3 linked regions of the Nothobranchius furzeri genome follow. The protein of the gene in region 2 interacts with the protein of the main gene of each other region in a pairwise test. Links are inferred from orthologs where the notes say so. Each region holds a gene or a part of one and is shown on either strand. Other genes may lie near its edges.

What was found.
Region 1: the proteins of srebf2 (region 2) and sp1 interact in binary tests that used the Homo sapiens proteins (3 or more experiments, as listed by UniProt). The link is inferred for Nothobranchius furzeri from reciprocal best matches to the Homo sapiens genes SREBF2 and SP1.
Region 3: the proteins of srebf2 (region 2) and nfyc interact in binary tests that used the Homo sapiens proteins (3 or more experiments, as listed by UniProt). The link is inferred for Nothobranchius furzeri from reciprocal best matches to the Homo sapiens genes SREBF2 and NFYC.

The regions. Positions count from the first base shown.
Region 1 is NC_091743.1:62,034,044-62,040,720, reverse strand, and holds the start of sp1 (transcription factor Sp1), read right to left. Parts: upstream 3,892-6,677; 5' UTR 3,809-3,891; coding exon 3,802-3,808; exon of another isoform or gene 3,747-3,801; intron 3,283-3,746; coding exon 3,206-3,282; intron 1,805-3,205; coding exon 460-1,804; intron 1-459. UniProt on the Homo sapiens protein: Transcription factor that can activate or repress transcription in response to physiological and pathological stimuli.
Region 2 is NC_091752.1:67,063,550-67,070,115, reverse strand, and holds the start of srebf2 (sterol regulatory element-binding protein 2), read left to right. Parts: upstream 1-2,511; 5' UTR 2,512-6,566. Other genes in the region: uncharacterized protein, read left to right, coding at 1-1,084.
Region 3 is NC_091759.1:20,570,524-20,577,045, reverse strand, and holds the start of nfyc (nuclear transcription factor Y subunit gamma), read left to right. Parts: upstream 1-2,070; 5' UTR 2,071-2,180; intron 2,181-2,323; exon of another isoform or gene 2,324-2,398; intron 2,399-5,064; exon of another isoform or gene 5,065-5,187; intron 5,188-5,270; exon of another isoform or gene 5,271-5,464; intron 5,465-5,929; exon of another isoform or gene 5,930-6,113; intron 6,114-6,522. Other genes in the region: uncharacterized protein si:ch211-13c6.2, read left to right, coding at 1,193-1,395. UniProt on the Homo sapiens protein: Component of the sequence-specific heterotrimeric transcription factor (NF-Y) which specifically recognizes a 5'-CCAAT-3' box motif found in the promoters of its target genes.

The sequences.
Region 1 (6,677 bases), on a different chromosome or scaffold from region 2:
TTTTAAGGACCCGCGGATACCCTGTGTAATACAGTAACTATGCCAAACTGCCTTCAGTGTAATTTAACTATCAGATGAAGAAATCGAACACAAACAGCTTGTTTACAGTTTAAGGCTCAGGGAAAACTCAGATAGTAGAACTGGTTTAACCAGAATTTAACTTGCATGCAAAGTGAAGCGATACCAAACATCGAAACCTCATTTTAAAGATACTAATCCTGAGACATTGTTGTTGTTTGCATGTACTTTTTCTCTTTTTGCATCTAAATTTTATCATATTTAGGAAATAAATGGTTCGTAAACAGTCATGATAAAATGTGGGCTAATTAAATAGAAATGACACAAATTTGTTTTCCATAACTCAGGAGTTATAGAAAGCATGGTCCTACTGTTGACTGGAGGTTATTATAAAGCATATTGAGACACATAATGAGAAACTTATAAACAAGCTGGTCTAACCTGATGCACCTGTGATGTTGATGGGGATTCCCTGCAGAGGATGCATCTGCAGCCCTGTGCTTCCAAGTGAGTTGAGATTTATGGTCTGAAGATTTGGGATCTGCACCGGTACCGTTCCAGCTCCGGTAGCTCCTTGAGTCTGCCCGAGCTGGGGCAGAGACTGCACTGGGGCTAGTGTTATCTGTGCACCTGCTGGACTCTGGATGTGAAGGGTCTGCCAGCTAACCTGGCCATTAGGGCCTACAGTGCGCAGGAGGATAGGCCCTGTGTTTGGCATAATCTGAAGATTTTGAAGCCCCTCTTGGCTGAGTGTTGGAGCTGCAAACACCTGACCACCTGCACTTGCAACGGTACTGGCTTGTATGGTCTGAAGAGGTGCTCCACTTTGAATAACCTGAGGAGACTGAATGAGGATTTGTTGAGGCTGCTGCTCTGCTCTGTTGTCTGGCTGAATTGGGACACCAAGAGAGGAGGCTGGGTTTTGCTGGAACGTTCTGCTCCCTGATCCGTTACTCTTCTGTGTGGCAATTCCATAAGAAGAGGTTTGAGTGGTGATGGTGGATTCGCTGGTCATGTAACTGGTCCCACTATTAGAAGATGCTGGCTGTGGAGATTGCTGTACGTGCTGGTTCCCACCCGTTTCTCCACTACCATTTGCATCCCCTCCAGTAGAACCTGTACTGACAGGCACCAAAGTGATGTTTCCATTCAAGGATACTGGCATGTTTGCCAGAAACTGGGGCTGATTTTGTAAAACACCATTGCCTAAGATGTTCTGAATGGGGATGGCTCCCTGAAGGACACTGGGCATGGTTATGATGTTTCCAGCTGCACCAGCTCTATTGGATGCAGCAATAATCTGCTGGCCATTTGGAGAGGACACTATCTGAAACTGTTGTCCTTGTCCTGCTGCAGCAGGTTCCTGTTGAGCATGTGCAAAGTGCAGCGGTTGGCCATCTACTGTCTGAAATTGGGGTATTACTTGGTACTGTATATTGGGCATCACACCTGATATGGTGGTTAGAACCTGCTGACCTGGCACAGATGGGGCCTGAGCTACTACATACTGCTGTGGCTGCTGACCCTGAGTACTTGATGGTGACAGCACCTGTCTGCTTTTGCCATTGTCTCCTGTCATCACCCCTGAGGAATCAGTGGTGATTGTGTTAGAGCCGGAGGATGCCTGAACGCTTAGAGGAACGACCTGCCAGCCGTTGGCACTGGAGGTGAAGACACCCGGGTTTATTTCCAGCTGTTGGTCTGCGGTAGAATCGTTTTCTCCGGGGGTGTCGATTCGACTGCACGTGGCTGCCAGCAAGGCCAAAGGAGACGGCTGCTGTGAGTCCTATAATCAGTATAAATGAAGATCAAACAGGAAAATGTAAACAGACAATAATAACAGAGCATGCTATCTTACATCTATAGAGACAATTGAGTGCCAGAAATTCTGATGTGAACATTTGTTGCTGCACAAGTTTTTAGCAGACTTTCCTGAACAAAATGGATGAATTTCATATTTCAAACCAATTTTGACAGTTACTGTGATACTCTTTAGCTTTTTCTACAATGTTTGGCCTTTGCTGGGATGGCTCCAGCATACACATCAGCCTTGCTTTCTAAACATGTTCTGCCAAGATCTCGTCGCTCAGCCGATCCCAGTCTCTTAGTAGTCTCGAGGATTTAGACTGGGGGGTGACCATGCCTTCTCTTGTTTTTTTTTCTATAGACTTTTGAACTCTGGAGATTAAACATGTTCCCTCCTTGTAATGCTTCAAAGCTGGATGGTTTTTGTATCACTTTTCATTTTCCGTCTGTTAGTGGCTTATTTTTGTAACTGTATATTATTACCGTTTAGTGTGCTTTAAATTTTAGGTTTCCTTTGTACTGGTTTTATGTTTGTATTTGATTTACTTACTTTTCCATTCTCTACTTTTACCTTTTTATGTGCGTCATGCAATTTTGTGTTTTGCCTTGATTGGCAGCATGAAGGTGCTTTATAAATGAATGAATAAAACTACTCATGTAAAATCACATCCCCCAAAGCCCCATGAACTCTTTTGTCCACGCATATTCAAACTGGAGAACAATAAAAGCAACCCTAATTATTATAAACAAGATGTTTACAGCAACACAAATAAAGTGGAACATAAATTATATCTTAAACCGTGCAAGGGGATCACATGTTCTAGCATATTGTATATTGGACCTGTTAAAAAATAGGAAGAAAGGCATGATGTTTCAAGTTAAAACAAATTAGGTTCCTTATTCTAAAAGAAATCTAGCTTGTTTAGTGAAAACCATAATATCACTGCGTTTAAGTCTAGCGAGTTTCATTGAAGCGCTTGTAGGGGAGTGGGCTTCACAGAGAAAACGCATTGGGTGAGGGGACATGGGAGGGAGGGACCACATTTTCCGGAGCAGCGGCGGGCTCGGCTTCCCCTCCCCCCAAGCCCACCCATCTCCCTCCCACACTTGATTTTCGCCCTATAAACTAGCACACTTCACTAGCCACCCCCTCCAAGGAGAGCCAAATGGGCCGAGCGAAACATACAAGAAGTGCCCGGGTTAGATGGGAACACCCCGTGTGGGCGAAATTTACCTGCCCAGTTCCCACCCCGATGACATGTGCTCTGGTGAGAAAATCAACAACCCGCTCAGGTCCAGACACACACGCACAGACGAACACAACAAATTCAACAAGTGGCACACACGATGAGAACGAAATGTCGCTAAGTGGTTAACTTACTTGTGAGTTTGTGTTTCGCTTCTGGCTGAATCCTCCGCCGCTCTCCACAGCGGCCATTTCACCCTGCTGCTGCTGATCTGCGGAAGAACACTTGTAAGACTTCTTGGAACATAATAGATCAGTTATACACGAAAACAAAAATCAAACAAAGAAAAACGACTACATGTTTCACAACAAGTCAACTTAAGAATGCTTTGTGGAAGATTCGGGTTGGAAAACATTTCAAGCCCTCACAAGGCCAGTTAGCTTGTGAGCTAACGTGAACTCAGCACAAGTAATAAACAATAAACTAGTTAAGCATTAATTAAGTGCACCAACGCAGTTTCCACCGTTCTGATAAAACATTACCGCTATTTTTTGTTTGAGGAATACCATAACCTACAATTCTAAAGAGGGGACAGCGTCGTTTTCTAAAGAACCACTAACAAGTAGCGTTAAGTAACAATAAACTAACGTCACTTTAAAACTGCTTCAGACTAGACAACAATGCAGCGCAAAATCCACCACTTAATACAAATAACACGATGTTGCTACGTCATACCCTTGAGTTATAAGTACGCACGTAGTATGCCTCCAAGTTTTAAAAGTCCACTTACTGCTCATAATTAGAAGACGGGAGGAGTTTCTGCTCTTTTTTCAGCTTGACAACTTTTCACAACTTCACACAAACTTAAGTTCCCCCTCCCTTTGAAGTAGGCGTATGAGTGCGTTCGATTTATGTAAACTAGATTCGAGATGGTGCAATGAACTTCTCAAACCTATTTCAAGTTAGACTACTTTTTAACTAGAGATTATAAAAATATAATTTGTGAAACTTAAGTGAGCCAGTAGATGACATTTTGAAAGAATGCTGGGTTTTCTTGGCGCTTAAATCAAAGTAAAACCGACTCCTGAACTTATCATAGACATGTACAAGTTACAAGGCAGAAATGAAACGGTAGAGTGAGTACCGCCACACATGCTGTAAATAATTCAATTCAAACCGATTTAAACTCGGAATATTTAAGATTTTTTTTTTCTTTTTCGTTTGGTAGTACGCGTACCGTACTGTGCCGAAAAAAAAACAAGCGCTCCTCAATCAGCAATACGGGTGATGGAATAATCCATTGTCCAATAGAATTGTTTGTCTCGCCTAAAGAGCACCAGTTGACTAATCTAATTTCACCATAGTTGGAGGGGTGGGCGGGATTAAGCACGGTAGGTTGTGCTCTTGAGCATGATTGACGTCGGGTTATTTGTTTTCCGCTAAAACGACGTCACTATAGTTTAGTCCACGTAAATACTGATAATTCGCTTAGCCCCGTCTTGAAGTGGAGTCAAATTTCAACAGTGAAACAACGCCAAACGTTGTTAATGTCTCTGGCCACAGAGGTGGGAAGTAAGGAGGGCTGAACGAGTGCTTGAGTCTTGCCTCCGTGGCCGTTGGCCACTCCCTTGTGGCTTTGTGAGTCGGTAAACAGTAATGTGGCGGGAGGAGTCAGAAAGGGTGGAGAAGAACCCTCATAACACTCACCACACTGGCTACTATGCTGGGCTGGGAGTGGAAGATGGTTGGACTGGGAGGGCTTTTATCTCTGCTAGGGGCTGTCATTGAAATAGCACATGTGTCCATGTATAAACATGTCAGAGGGTGGAGTCCATACATCCATACCACCCTGGCCTGTCTGTTTACACACACACACACACACACACACACACACACACACAATTGAATTTGATTGATTTAGTCAGGTTCAATATTGTGTTCAAATTGCTATGTTTAATCCTGTTATGTAGAACAATTAAGTGCCTTCTGGTTTCTATGCTTATCACAGGATTTATCTATGTTATCACTTCACAAGTACTCTAAAGAAATGCTGTTGGGTAAAAAGTTAGCACAAAAAATGTGCTAAAATCAGGAAATATCAAATAAACAGGATATAACCGGGGCAGTGCTAGTGGAAGGTGTCCAAGGTGTGCCAGTGCCACCCTGACAGCAATCATGGACCTCGTGCCGCAGAGCCTTAACATTAAGTTCTGCTTATTTGAACAAAAGCATGTCAAAGCATTTATCTGGTATAGTAGATGCTTATACAAATATTTTCTTGTTGTTATACCAAAATAATAACCCAGATAACACATTTTGTGCAAAAAAGTCATACTCTGAGACATATTGGAAAGGTGTATACAAAGTGATTGCCATTGTAGATAATAAACGCTGAAAAACTGAAAGACAATGTTTGGAGTGTTTTCTTACAACAGTGCCTCTGTAGCAGCAGCTGGCCACAGCCTGGACCCTCCTTATGATAGTCTAGACTCTAGAGCAGGGATGTCAAATATGCGGCCCGCGGGCCGGATCCGGCCCGCAAGCGGGTTAAATCCGGCCCGCGAGATGATTGTGTAAACTTTATTTTCATACTTTACAATGTAGAGTGAAAATAAACTTATCTTTGTGAGCAAGTTTTCTCTGTAATGAGTATAAATAAAACAAAGCTGCGCTCAAGGCTCACACAAGAACTTGAATCACATCCTGAAGTTGGCATGCCACTCAGGATGTGACTTCTGATATTGATGTGCTGGTGAAAGCTAAAAGATGTAAAGTAAAATGAGTCAAATATATTTTAAGTGCTGCACGAAACTGATCTAGCCATGTGATCTGTAAGCTCTTTTAATCACTAAGGAATGTATTTTTTATTGATTGATTTTTTTTATTTTTTTCAAATTTTCAAGTACACTTCAGGTGTTGTACTTGTACCGTTTTGGATACATTGTCCTCTGGCTCCAGCCTTGTTTTATATTGGTTGTATTAAAACAAAGAAAACAATCTGAAGTTGTTTTTAATTTACCGGTCCGGCCCACTTGGAACTAGATTTCTCGCAATGTGGCCCCTGAGCTAAAATGAGTTTGACACCCCTGCACTAGAGCCTCCCATGGTACATTGACGGTGGCAAAAATTCCACCATCCTCTGCAAAGGCCAGAGTGTGCTTTTCAGATAATTGCAAGTACATCTATTTTCAAACGGTTAAAGAATGACACAGGAAGCACACATATGGTCAGCTTTTAGAGCTGGCCTGTTTCAAACTATTCAGTGGACATACATGCAAAGTAATATAAGGGATCAATTTCATTGTCCCTTCTTGATCCATGTTAGCTTTTGAAGATTATCTGTGCATGAATGATCTTTTTTAATTCTTATTGACTAGAAATAATGTCATTGACACTTTGGTGATTAAGTGGCTCTCTAAACGTTTCTTCAATGGAGACATCGTAGGTGGATTTTTGGTGAAGTTTTCATCAACTAATCATTTATAGCTTACTGTTGATCTTTTGAGCAAAATTAGCAAAATGTCACAACATACGTTTTTTATTTGCAGGAAATCACCAAAAATGCACTTTCATGACACAATCTGACGCACCACTGATAATTATCTTGCAAGTGCTCAGATAAAGTTGGTTAAAGATAAACAACAAGTTTTCATTGCGTTTATTTAT
Region 2 (6,566 bases):
CACAGAGGAGCTGAGGGAGCGAGGCCAAGCCGAGGGGGAGGAAGACCAGGTTAAAGTTGTAAAACGAAGAAAGTGTGACTTGGAGTCCAGTGGAGGAGATTTTAGAGTCGAGAGGTGGAGTGAGGAGAGTAGGAGGAGCGCCTTCGGCCTCCTGCGTGACCGGTTCAGGGGGAGGCGTCAGGGTGTTGGCAGGCGGCACTCTCTCCGCCTGTCCCTGAGTCGTTTGAGGAGGGAAGCTGCACTCTCTGCCAAGGTGCTGAACAGAGTTAAGATCCTGGTGGTGGCTGGAGCAACGGGCATGGCGGTCGGCGCCGTGTTTGGGGCAGCTGCCCCTTTAGCCGCTGCAGCAGGGGCGTCCCTAGTAGGAAACTCCGTATCCTTTGCAGCAGGGCAGTTAGCCGGGATGTCGGCAGCAGGAGGCATGGGTGTCGGGAAAGCGGTAGGAGCCGTAGTGGCTGCAGCTTCTGGAAAAACAGCCGTGGCCCTTGGTGCAGCAACGGGTGGAGTTTTAGGTGGTTCTGTGGGAGCTGTTGCTGGTGCTGAGGCTGCTAGTCCTCAGGAGGGCGCTTTAGATGCCCTGGGCCAGGTTGGTGCCATAGGTGGGTCTGCTGTGGGAGTGGCAGCATGTGTGGGCTGTGCCCTGGGAGCTGGTGCTGCTTTTAGCTCAGCAGCTCTCCTCGCAGCAGAACCTGTAGCTCAGGGGACTTTAGCTTTAGCAGCACCGCAGCACGCCGTGGCCTCGGCTGCTGCAGGAGCTGGACCTCCTCAGTGTGCTGCAGCTTTAGCTCAGGCGGTGGCTACGCATGCCCCAGTGGTGGCTGGATCAACAGGGGCTGTTTGTGATCCATCAGGGCCTGTGGTGTCCTCGTTGACCCGGGGGGCTGTTTCAGACCACTGGGGCACCGTGGCAGTAACTACTCGTATCTTGAGCGCTGTGGCTGAGATTGGGAAAGCTGCAGCAGGCATTGCTCTGGCGGGTGGTCTGGTAGTGAAGGTGGTGAAGGAGAAAGTGAGATCTGGAACAGGTGCGACGGAAGCCAGCTACTCGGAAAAGAAGTCCTGTGAGATTTATTGGAACAGATAAAAGTTAAAGGCCATATGTGTCCTTTAACAGCTTTTCTGTTGAAATATTCAAATAAAGACATCCACATAATCTGATGCGCTGTAAACCCGACCAGGTCAAACATCACATTAAAAGTGTTTGAAGCTGTTCATGGCTGCTGTGGCATTTAATCTTAAGTATTTTGTTTTTAGGGAGGAGATAACCACAGATGTCTTCTAAATTCACTGTTGAATTAAATCTCATGCTAAAGGTTGTCACATGGGTTTGGAGGGAAGCATTTAGTCACAATTCAAACAAAAAAAGGGTAAAATGATGATAATAAAGATGTGGTTAACAGTGTTGGGAGTAACGCGGTGCAAATGTAATTAATTACTGTAACGCATTGCTTTTTGCTGTAATGTGGTAATAAGGCATTACAGGGAAAGAAAATGGTCATATTTACTCGGTACAATTGTCAGAAACACAGTAATTACAATGCATTTTTAAATCCAGAAGCAAGTTGTGGGTTTCTTCAAAATTCAAATTGCGGGAAGGCCAGGAAAGATCCAGTATCTACATATATGACGTCATTTATGGACTCAGAGTTGCGGGCATCCTATGAGCAGAGAGGACGCAGCGGTAATGGCTCCTGCATTCACAAAATGGCTCCACCAAAACAAAATAATTAATTTGCGATCGTTCATATCAGCCCATATTCTCTGGTGCTTTCTGTACTTTTCTGACGTGCTTTGCCTCAGCTGAGTTCATAATCTGCGCCCCGGTGATTTGAACTCATTGCTGCTGGAGCGCAGCACATATTAAAGAGCAAGTCACCCCCAAATCAACTTTTTTTTCTGATAAACTACATAAATGTGTGTCTAATCGTGCTGCAGACACGTGTAGTCAATAGTTTTGCACTTTAGTGCATTTTAGTTAAAATTTAAATTTTCTGCCTAAAACTGTCAGTGTTGTGCCGTTGTCAGGTAAAAACTCTGCACTGCATTTGAATTTAAATCTGCCATCGCTATTGGCTAAGAGGTACCCTAGAACGTTAGCTGGTACCATATGATGTCACAATGTCGTTGTGAGCCTGTGTGTGTGTGTGTGTTAGCGACTCTGCTCTCTCGGTCTGCTAGGCAACAGCATTTGTTGCATTTTTCAAACAGGAAGTGGGAGTGGGGTAATACTCTGATAGGGGGTGACTTGCTCTTTAAAGAGGGCCGAATTCGTCAACCGCATTTGAAGGAGTCTTCGAATTGGGACAGGCCTGGTCGCGGCACTGTGAGGTAAACGGCCGACGAAGGATGCAGACCCTGAATTGAGACACAGGCTCACGACAGCATTGTGACATCATAATGTACCAGTTTACATCATAGCATACCTCTTAGCCAATAGCTGTGGCAGATTTAAATTAAAATACAGTGCAGAGTTTTTACCTGACAACGGCACAACACTGCCAGTTTTAGGCAGAACATTTAAATTTTAACTAAGGTGCACTGAAGTGCCAAATTATTGACTACACGTGTCTGCAGCACGATTAGACGCTCATTTATTTAGTTTATCAGCAAAAAAAAGTTTTTTTGGGGGTGACTTGCTCTTTAAGCTTTTTTTGCATTCGGTAGATCCCTTGGCTGATTAGGTAGAAAGTAGGAAACTGATTTTCTGGAAGACGGAGAAAAGATGCAGCATGCAGGAAGGTTAGAGAGAGAGAGGGCCAGAAATCATTCAAATAAAATCAAGAAAATAAAAAAAAGTGCTTGAAAAGAAAAAAAAAGTAAGTAGATTTATCCCCAATACACATTTTTACCACTCCATCCATCCATCCATTTTCATCTGCTTATCCGGAGTCACGTCGCAGGGGCGGTAGCCTAAGTCGAGAGGCCCAGACTTCCCTCTCCCCATCCACTTGGGCCAGCTCTTCCGGGGGAATCCCAAGGCGTTCCCTGGCCAGGCAAGAGACATAGTCCCTCCAACGTGTCCTGGGTCTCCCTTTAGGTCTCCTCCCGGTTGGACGTGCCCAGAAAACCTCACCAGGGAGGCGTCCAGGAGGCATCCTGACCAGATGCCTGAGCCACCTCAACTGGCTCGTCTCGATGTGGAGGAGCAGCGGGTCTGCTCCAAGCCCTTCCCGGATGGCCGAGCTTTTCACCCTATCTCTAAGGGAGAGCCCAGCCATTCTGTGGAGAAAACTCATTTCGGCTGCTTGTATCCGCGATCTCGTTCTTTTGGTCACTACCCAAACCTCATGACGATAGGTGAGGGTAGGAACGTAGATCGACCGGTAAATCGAAAGCTTTGCCTTGACTCAGCTCTCTCTCCACCACGACAGACCGGTAAAACGCCCGCATCACTCCAGATGCAGCACCAATCTGCCTATCGATCTCACGCTCCAGTTTTCCCTCATTCATGAACTCCTCCACTTGGGGCAGGACCTCATCCCTGACCCGGAGAAGGCGTTCTACCCTTTTCCGAATCAAGACCATGGTCTCAGCTTTAGAGGAGCTGGTTCTTATCCCAGCTGCTTCACACTCTGCTGTGAGCCGCTCTAGCGAAAGCTGAAGATCACGTTCTGATGAAGCCAACAGGACCACATCATCTGCAAATCATCTGATCCTCAGGCGACCAGAACGGATCCCCTCCATACCTTGGTTGCACCTAGAAATCCTGTCCATAAAGGTTATGAACAGAATCGGTGACAAACGAAAGCCTTGGCGGAGTCTAAATGATAAATGACCCGCACTTCTATAGTGCCTCTCAGAGTAAGGACTCCAAAGTGCTTTACACTACAGTGTATCATTCATACATTCACACACTGATAGTGATGAGCTACAATGTAGCCACAGCTGCCCTGGGGCACACTGACAGAGGTGAGGCTGCCGAGCACAAGTGCCACCAGTCCCTCCGACCACCACCAGCAGGCAAGGTGGGTTAAGTGTCTTGCCCAAGGACACAACAGCAGAATTCTCTGTGCGGAGCCGGGATCGAACCTGCAACCTTCCGATTACTGGACAACCTGTTGAGCTACTGCTGCCCACTGGGAACGAGCCCGACTTACTGCCGGCAATGCGGACCAAGCTCTTGACACCGGTCATACAGGGACCTAACAGCCCGTATCAGAGGACCCGGTACTCCATACTGCTGGTGTACCCCCCAAAGGGCCCCCCGAGGGACACGTTCAAATGCCTTCTCCAAATCCACAAAACACATGTAGACTGGTTGGGCAAATTCCCACGCACCCTCCAGGATCTCCCTAAGGGTATAGAGCTGGCCCAGTGTTCCACGGCCAGGACGAAAACCACATTGCTCCTCCTGAATCTGAGGTTCAACAATCCGACGGACCCTCCTCTCCAGAAACCCTGAATAGACCTTACCAGGAAGGCTCAGGAGTGTGATCCCCCTGTAGATGGAACACACCCTGCGGTCCCCCCTTTTAAATAAGGGGACCACCACCCCAGTCTGCCATTCCAGTGTGCCTACCCCAATGTGTACGTGATATTGCAGAGCCGCGTCAGCCACCACAGCCCCACAACATCCAGAGCCTTAAGGAACTCCGGGCAGATCTCATCCACCCCTGGAGCCTTGCCACAGAGGAGCTTTTTAACCACCTCAGTGACCTCAGCACCAGAGACTTGAGAGGCCAACCCAAAGTCCCCAGACTCTGCTTCCTCACTGGAAGACGTGTTGGTGGGATTGAGGAGGTCTTCGAAGTACTCTGCTCACCGATCCACAACGTCCTGAGTAGAGGTCAGCAGCACACCATCCCCACTATAGATAGTGTTGGTAGCGCACTGCTTTCCCCCCCTGAGGCTCTGGATGGTGGACCAAAATCTCCTCGAAGCCATGTGGAAGTCTTGCTCCATGATCTCACCGAACTCCTCCCATGCCCAGGTTTTTGCCTTGGCGACCACCCGAGCCACGTTCCGCTTGGACTGCCGGTACCTGTCAGCTGCCTCTGGAGTCCCACAGGCCAAAAAGACCTGATAGGACTCTTTCTTGCTTGACAGCATCCCTGGGTTCAGGGGTTGCCAGAACGACAGACACCGACGATCCTGCGACCACAGCTCCGGTCGGCCGCCTCAACAATGGAGGCACGGAACAGGGTCCATTCAGACTCAATGTCCCCCGCCTTCCCCGGAACATTTTGGAAGTTCTGTCAAGAGGTGGGAATTGAAGCTCCTTCTGACAGGAGACTCTGCCAGACGTTCCCAGCAGACTCTTGAGATACGTTTGGGCCTGCCTGGTCTGACCGGCATCCTCCCCCACCATCTGAGCCAACTCACCACCAGGTAGTGGTCAGTTGACAACTCCGCCCCCTCTTCACCCGAGTGTCCAAGACATGCGGCCGCAGGTCAGATGAAACAACAACAAAGTCGATCATCGAGCTGCGGCCTAAGGTATCCTGGTGCCAAGAGCACATATGGACACCTTTATGTCTGAACATGGTGTTCTTATTGACACTCCATGACTGGCACAGAAGTCCAATAACAAAACACCACTCGAATTCAGATCGGGGGGGCCGTTCCTCCCAACCACACCTCTCCAGGTCTGTCGTTGCCTACGTGAGCATTAAAGTCCCCCAGCAGAACGAGGGAGTCACCGGAAGGAGCGCTTTCCAGCACCCCCTCCAAGGTCTCCAAAAAGGGTGAGTAGTCTGAACTGTAGTTTGGTGCGTAAGCACAGACCACAGTCAGAACCCGTCCCCCCACACGTAGGCGGAGGGTGGCTACCCTCTCATTCACTGGGGTAAACCCCAACATACAGGCACCAAGATGGGGGGCAACCAGTATGCCCACCCTTGCTCGGCGCCTCTCAGTGGGAGCAACTCCATAGTGGTACAAAGTCCAACCCCTCTCAAGGAAACTGGTTCCAGAGCCATGCGTTGAAGTGAGTCCAACCATATCTAGTCAGAACCTCTCAACCTCAGGCTCCTTTCCCACCAGAGAGGTGTCATTCCATGTGCCAAGAGCCAGCTTCTGTAGCCGAGGATCAGACCGCCAAGGTCCCCGCCCTCGACTACCACCCGTCACACACTGCACCCGACCCCTTTGGCCCCTCCCACGAGTGGTGAGTCCATGGGAAGGGGGACTTATGTTTCCTCTTCGGGCTGTGCCCAGCCAGGCTCCATGGGTGAAAGCCCGGCCACCAGGCGCTCGCCAACGTGCCCCACCTCCAGGCCTGGCTCTAGAGGGGGGCCTCGATGACCCACGTCCGGGCGAGGGAACACGGTTTCCATTTATATAATTCATCATAAGAGGTCTTTGGGCTGCTCTTTGTCTGATCCCTCACCTAGGACCTGTTTGCCATGGGTGACCCTACCACAGGCAGAAAGCCTCAGACAACTTGGCTCCTAGGATCATTGAGACACTCAAACCCCTCCACCACGGTAAGGTGGCAGCCCAGGGAGAGGAAAACTTAAATTTTAACTAAAATGCACTAAAGTGCTAAACTATTGACTACACGTGTCTGCAGCACGATTAAACATGCATTTATATCGTTTATCAGAAAAAAAATGTTGATTTGGGGG
Region 3 (6,522 bases), on a different chromosome or scaffold from region 2:
TGCAGCTTGCCCCGATTGCTGTGAGACCGGGTTGGGGGGTGGGGGGTGCAGCTGTGGTTGGGACAATTATTACATTAACTGATGGACTTGTAAATAAATAGTTTATAAATAAGGTAGAAATAAGTTCCTCACGCTGATAAATGATAACTAATCTCTCTGAGGACACGGTGCTAGTGCACTCTTCTACAGCACCTTGACACGACTCAATAAATGTTACGCAACATTTTGTGAACATCAATTTATTTGCATGTATTTGTTATAAATGCCACTGTATAATTCTTGCTGTCAGTATTTGCAAGATATTGGTATTTGGGTCTGTACTGGTTAGACTTAAATGAGTTAAACCAAGGTCTATAGCCCTTGGGTCATAAACTATGAGCTGTAAGTATATTGGGCTTTTTATACTGGGAATCAGGAGTTATTTTAGTGATCATCTTGTTTCTTGTTTACTTTTGCCCTGATTGTGCCCTGAGCAATTTTATGACTGAATAAAAACAAATAAAATCAACATAAATTGAAAAATCGTCCTAAATAATCGTGATCTCAATTTCAGTCACCATAATCGTGATTATTATTTTTGCCATAATCGAGCAGCCCTACTGTCACATGTGTTACATACATTTTTACGTGACACTTTGCCAACCTACACATATTTTCATTTTTTTATTATCAAATTTATTGACATGGGAAAAATGATCACGATAAGAGTCAGAGATTTCGATAACGATAAATTTTCGATTTATTGCCCAGCGAGTGATACGTATTGTATCGCCAGAGTTTCACCAAAACTCATCCCTACTGTAAACCCTAGAGATGGTTGTGCAAGACAGTCCCAGAAGATCAGCAGTTTCTGAAATACTCAGACCAGCCCGTCTGGCACCCACAACCATGACACGTTCAAAGTCAAATTAAATCGCCTTTCATCCCCATTCTGAAGCTCAGTTTGAACTGCAGCGGATCGTGTCAACATGCCGAAATGCATTGAGTTGCCACCATGTCATTGGCTGATTTAGTAATTTGCGTAATCGAGCACTTGGACAGGTGTATTCATTAAAGTGGCCCGTGAGCGCGTGTACATACCGGTCACATAAACATGGTGAGTTGGAGGACAGTCTGTAAAGCAAAAAAATCTGTATGAAAGTTTAATTATGAATTGTTTTTATTCTAAAGTCGTTGTCTTGTGTGTTTTTAGGTGGAACACCTTTTTATCCCGAAAGACTTCCAGAACTCATGAACTCACCCGACTACCGGAATCCTGATATGTTTTTTGACCCTCACCCCGCTGCGCCTCCCCCTCTTATGGAGCAACAGAGCAGGATGCAGAGGGACCCTCGCTACTCCAACAATCTGGACAAAATCACCTGCGCTCTCCTGGAGCTTGTGGCAAGAAAATAGTCACTCCCAAGATGGTTATAAAATAAAATTAGATTTTGTTTGTGTAAGTAGTTTCAGGTTGCATGTGAAGTTGAATGGTTTGGTTTATTTTAGGGAATTTGCCTTAGTAAAGTTCAGTTTTTGACCCGTCAAGATCTGTGATGTAATTGTCTTGTCTGTAGTAATCTGTTTATTTTAGTTTCTCATTTGTATCAGTGTAAGCATAACCATCAACATTTGTACACAGTTTCATTTTATGTGATATGAACGTGTTAATTTACAAAACTAAAATTCGTAATGTGAATGTGGCTCTTTTTATATACAGAACACACCAAGAACTAAAAGATGGAATTAGAATTTCAACACAACAAGAACACACCAAAGATGTTTAAAGAACACACCAAGGTTGACGTCTGTTTATGCACTTTTTAAATAGCACAAAAATTACCTTACGGTCAGAATCCAAGTTTGAATCCTCTGTTTTTTTCCAGGAATTTTCCAGACAAAATAGTATTTTATCAAGCCAACTTTTGCAAAACTTTATATTTTTTGTGAGGTAAAAATTATTTGCATGAGTGACAGGCTTAATATGTGTTTACATAAATACAATATATCCATTTGAATGTTATTTCGTAGGTTCAATATGTCTTATTTGTTCAGACGTAGGTTCTGTGAAAACGTAGCTCGCACTACGTCATCGCGTTAATCTTTCCGGTTCGAGTCAAGCAGCCATCTTGTTTCCCTAGCTTGTTAAACAAAATAAATAATACGCTGAGCCGGACTTCAGCTCGAACCCGAAAAAGAAAGTGAGTAAAAAACTTAAATTCTCTCATACCTATGTTCTTTACATAAAACAGGCCTGAGGGAGTGGCAGTCGGGGCAATTATTTGGCCTGTTTTCATTTGCTGTTCTTGACCAATAGACGATTGTTTTGGGAGATGAACATCGGCGCCATTTCCCTCCCCGCACTCAGGCGCTTATTGGTGGCCCGCCGAAGAGATCCCGGGCGGTTTGGAAACTGGAGGTCTGTGTCCGCCATTTTGGATCTCATTAAAACGGCTGTCAAACGCAGTGGCTATTTCCATTGGATCCCGAATGGCGTCGATTGCAGAACGAACTTAGCCTTAAAAACCTTGATTGGTGGAATCTAGTCCGAGGTTTGATTGGTCTGAAGGACAGATCCAAACGTTGTCTTTATTGGTTAGGGTGTTTCTTTCGAGCTTTGCAAACTTTACGATGGCAAGACTCGTCAGTGTGTGATTTAATTTCACTCCGCGGAATGTCAGCCGAGCAGTGCAACAGTCACCATTCTCCACCAAGCTAGCATAAAGTTCACTTTGTCACAGTCGGCACTCCCTATCCTAACGTTAAACTAGTAGTGGAAATCTTTTGTGTACGGCTGTTTTGTGTGTCTAAGCACGAAAATGTGTTCAATTAGTCTCTCCAACTCAAGAAAATACAAGCTAGTTGTGCCTGCTAGCCCAAGATTTAGCATCATTTTTTTCACTTTATCACGATGGCCGCTTTATTCAAATAAACCTCTGTAGAATTCCGTTTCGCAAACTGAGAATGGCCAGAAAATGCGTTATACCTGCTGCGATTTTTACCTAATATGTCTGTCGGCTGCGTTAAAAGCGCAGTGTGCCATTTAATCGTAAAAAGTGTAATTGGTTTAATGTCATGATCACAATTGGAAAACAAATAACCAGTTGAGCTGAGTTATGTAATCATCCTGCATGTACTGAACTGTTTTCTGAATATTTGTACGCTTACGAATCAACAAATACACAATATATAGACAATATCAATAACTAAACAACACCCAAAGCAGAAAGGACACAAACCGTTTTGTTTTTTGATTAATCTATTTAAAAAAATCCTATTTTAAGCTTTTACTTTTGTGCATTTTAGTTCCTAATTTGTTTTAATTTTGAATTATAGCTTAACTTTGTACATTTGAAATGAAGTTTGGTTGTTTAATAAAAGTCCATCTGTAATTCCTTATTCTTGGTGTATAAGTTTACTTCTAACTCAGGATTGCAGCTCTTCCCACCCCAGTCTATTATTTCTGTCTCTAAAACATTAATGTTTGTTTAATCCACTAATTGCTTATTTTTCTAATTGACAGAATGCTTAGATTTTGATCAAACATTAATGGAAGCACCTATTGTGCAAATCAGTGAGCTGGGGTTTGCAGGTGGTTATATGTTTACATGTTGAAGGCTTAGCTCGGCCACCCTGAGGGTGCTGTGTGTTTATGAAACCTAACGTCTGATTGGTGTGTGTTTATCTCCAAACAGCATCAGCGAGCACAAACATGGCCATGCTACGGGCGGTATAGGTCATGGGAAGGTTTCATTTGTATGCTGACCTTGCCAAGTGTCATTACTGAGGCTATTTGGGTAGCAAGCGTCCCCTTTAAGAGAAAAATAAATGTCCTGGCCAGTTAGCCGTGATGGAGAGATTAATCTTTGAGAAAACTATCCAATCATTAACCTGATGCTTGCAGCGCCTTTTCTTGTGCCGGTGCTCTGTGCTAAAATAGCAAAAGGAACATTTAGCTTTGTTTCTCTTGAGTTATCTATCTTGTTCCCTAACCCTCCCACCACTTGTTCTACCCCTCCCATCCCATAACAACTCTCCTCTCTGTCCTTCTCCATCCTTCCGGTCTCTCCCCCCCCCCCGGTATTTCATTGAAGGGGCAGGTTTCCTCTGTTTCCTCTTAAGCTTGTTCCATTCCACTCCACTGTAGAGTCACATTCATATGGAGCATTATCTTTAGACTATTATGTCACTTTTTAAACACGTTTCCTGCTTCATGTATGTGTCTCCTAATGAGTTCACATGTGAAACGGATCACAAACTGCTCAAGGTTGTGGTTTGTAAAACATCAGCTGGGCACATGAGCGGTGGCGGCTGGTCTTGGTGATCCGAAGTAAAGGTTTCTGCGATGAAAGGATGTGCCGTGAACAAAAAGGGCATCGAGTTTGTCATTGCTGGTGTGGTTTCCGTTGACGTTTTTATTGTGGAAGTTGCTGCTAGCTTCGTTTTGGGGTCAGGACACCAGCGTCTTTGTGTACAGATTTCCACCCATATCTCTTAAGTCTTGTTTAACCACAAATAGAACAAGAATCATATTCAGCCTTATCCCTCCCCCATCCCAACTAATGTTCCATCAGCTGATTTCTTCCGCAACTGATGGCCTGAAATGATCAGTTTTAGAGATTTATAAATATTTTTTGTTATGGTCCAAGTAAGCAACATAGTTTGCAGAAAATCATCTCCTGTGTCGTAAATTTGTTGAATGTCATTCTGCTATTTTACATCCTAAACAAATAAAAAAGTATTTTGTTTATGTGGACAAATTTTGTCTTTGCTGTATTATCAGTAATATGAATGTCATTACAACAAACGGGCTGCTCAGAGGCAACGTTGTCGCTCCACGCACCTGGAAACACCAGCAAGGATAAACGAGGAAGCAAGGACAAAATGTGCATTTGTGTGGATGTGCATGTGAGACTGTACACGCGTGAGACAGGGTGGCTGGCTGCTAGGTTTTGTACTTTAAATCATGTGGATGCAACATGCAGCATCAGTTCTGGCACTTCTTTCAGCCAATCGGGGCGTTCCTGGTTGCCTGCATCATTGTGCCGTCAGCCCGTAGCTGCCGAGGGGGGCGGGGCAGAGGGAGACATTTAGTTTGACATTGTAAATAAGCAGAGAGCAGTTGTCAGAGAGCAGCCCGTCGGAACCTTTCTCATCCAACCAGCAGCAGGAGAGACGGGAGACCGCTTCAGAACAAACGATGCCAAGGCAAGCCACAGCGATCACGCCCTCGTCGGAGACTTTTCCACAACTTTACTTGCTCCTTTTTCTCTCTCCCATCGCCTCTCTTCTCTCTTTCTCTTTTCTTTTCCCTGACCCCTATCCTGCAGCTCAAGGTAACTTAGAGCAGGAAGTTGACTGTCAGTGAAAGGGGGTTGGGCGGAGGAAAGCAGAGTGGGGGACGTGCCGGAGCGGATTGGTGTACGCGGCGTCCAATAGCACGACAGCCCTTTGTCTTTGCATTGGTCACATCTGCTAGAATGAGGTGGGCGTTGGGTTTGAGGCGGGGTTTGAGTATCATGTAGCATGCTAGATTGATTATGCTTGAATGTTAAAGGGGAAGGAGGCTCGAGATTCTTGTCTCTGTGTCAGGAGTGCCGCGGTAATGTTTGCCTGCTGCCGTGCTCTCTTTCCGAGACTTCTCGCCCCCTTCTACCTACCGGGCCAGGGGTCAGATCAAAGACAAACAGATGGACAATGGTCAAAGTGAGGAAGAGGTGTCACAGAGTACAAAGACAGGAGGAGGAGTAGTGGTCAGCAAGTTAAAGGGGTCTTGGTAAGAAGAGAAATGGTGGAGATGCCCAGGAGGACCTTGGGGACTGTTGAAGGAGACAGGTCAATGTGTAGAAGGAGAGTGGGAGGAAGCAAGGGGGAGGGGTGCTTGCTCTTTACTCTGTCCGGGTTTAGAGCTTTTTTTTTTCTTTTTTTTTTGAGCTGTCCAAGTGGAGCCAGAGTGCCTTTTGTCTGTTGATATGATCAGGGGACTGGAGGAAGTGGAGGAGCATGGGAGAGTTTTCTGTCAGCCTCTGTGCTGGCTCCTGCTGTTCTCAAGGAGACTTGAGCAGGGCTATCTGTTTCCATCTCTCCTGCTGCTCTTCAGCAGGCCACACCGTTCAGCATGAAGGGCACGGGGGGTAAGTCTGTCAGCTAAAACACACACAGCCAGAGCAGACCTGCCAAGTTAACTCGCTTCAAGTTCCCAAATAAATTGTTGATCTCACTTTACTTTAGGAAACGTCTCCATCATTCTGCAGTGAAGAGAGCGTGTGTCCTTTACAGCTGTCCTCAGTCCCCCTCCCTTTTCTGTCCTGCAGTTCTCTCCTCGGTACTTTGTTCCGTCTCATCTGTGCCCTTCATCTGTCGCTTTATTGGAGCATTTATGCTTTTAATCGATAATTTTTGCTTCCAAATCTGTGAAAAGTGGAGCGTTTTGGGAAGACGCTTGTCTCGACTCTGGACTACGCACTTCCTGCTCTCTTGTCGACTGGATGGAAAAGCGTGGTTACAAAAATCTGACTTAAGACGGACCTCGCCGCGGGGCCG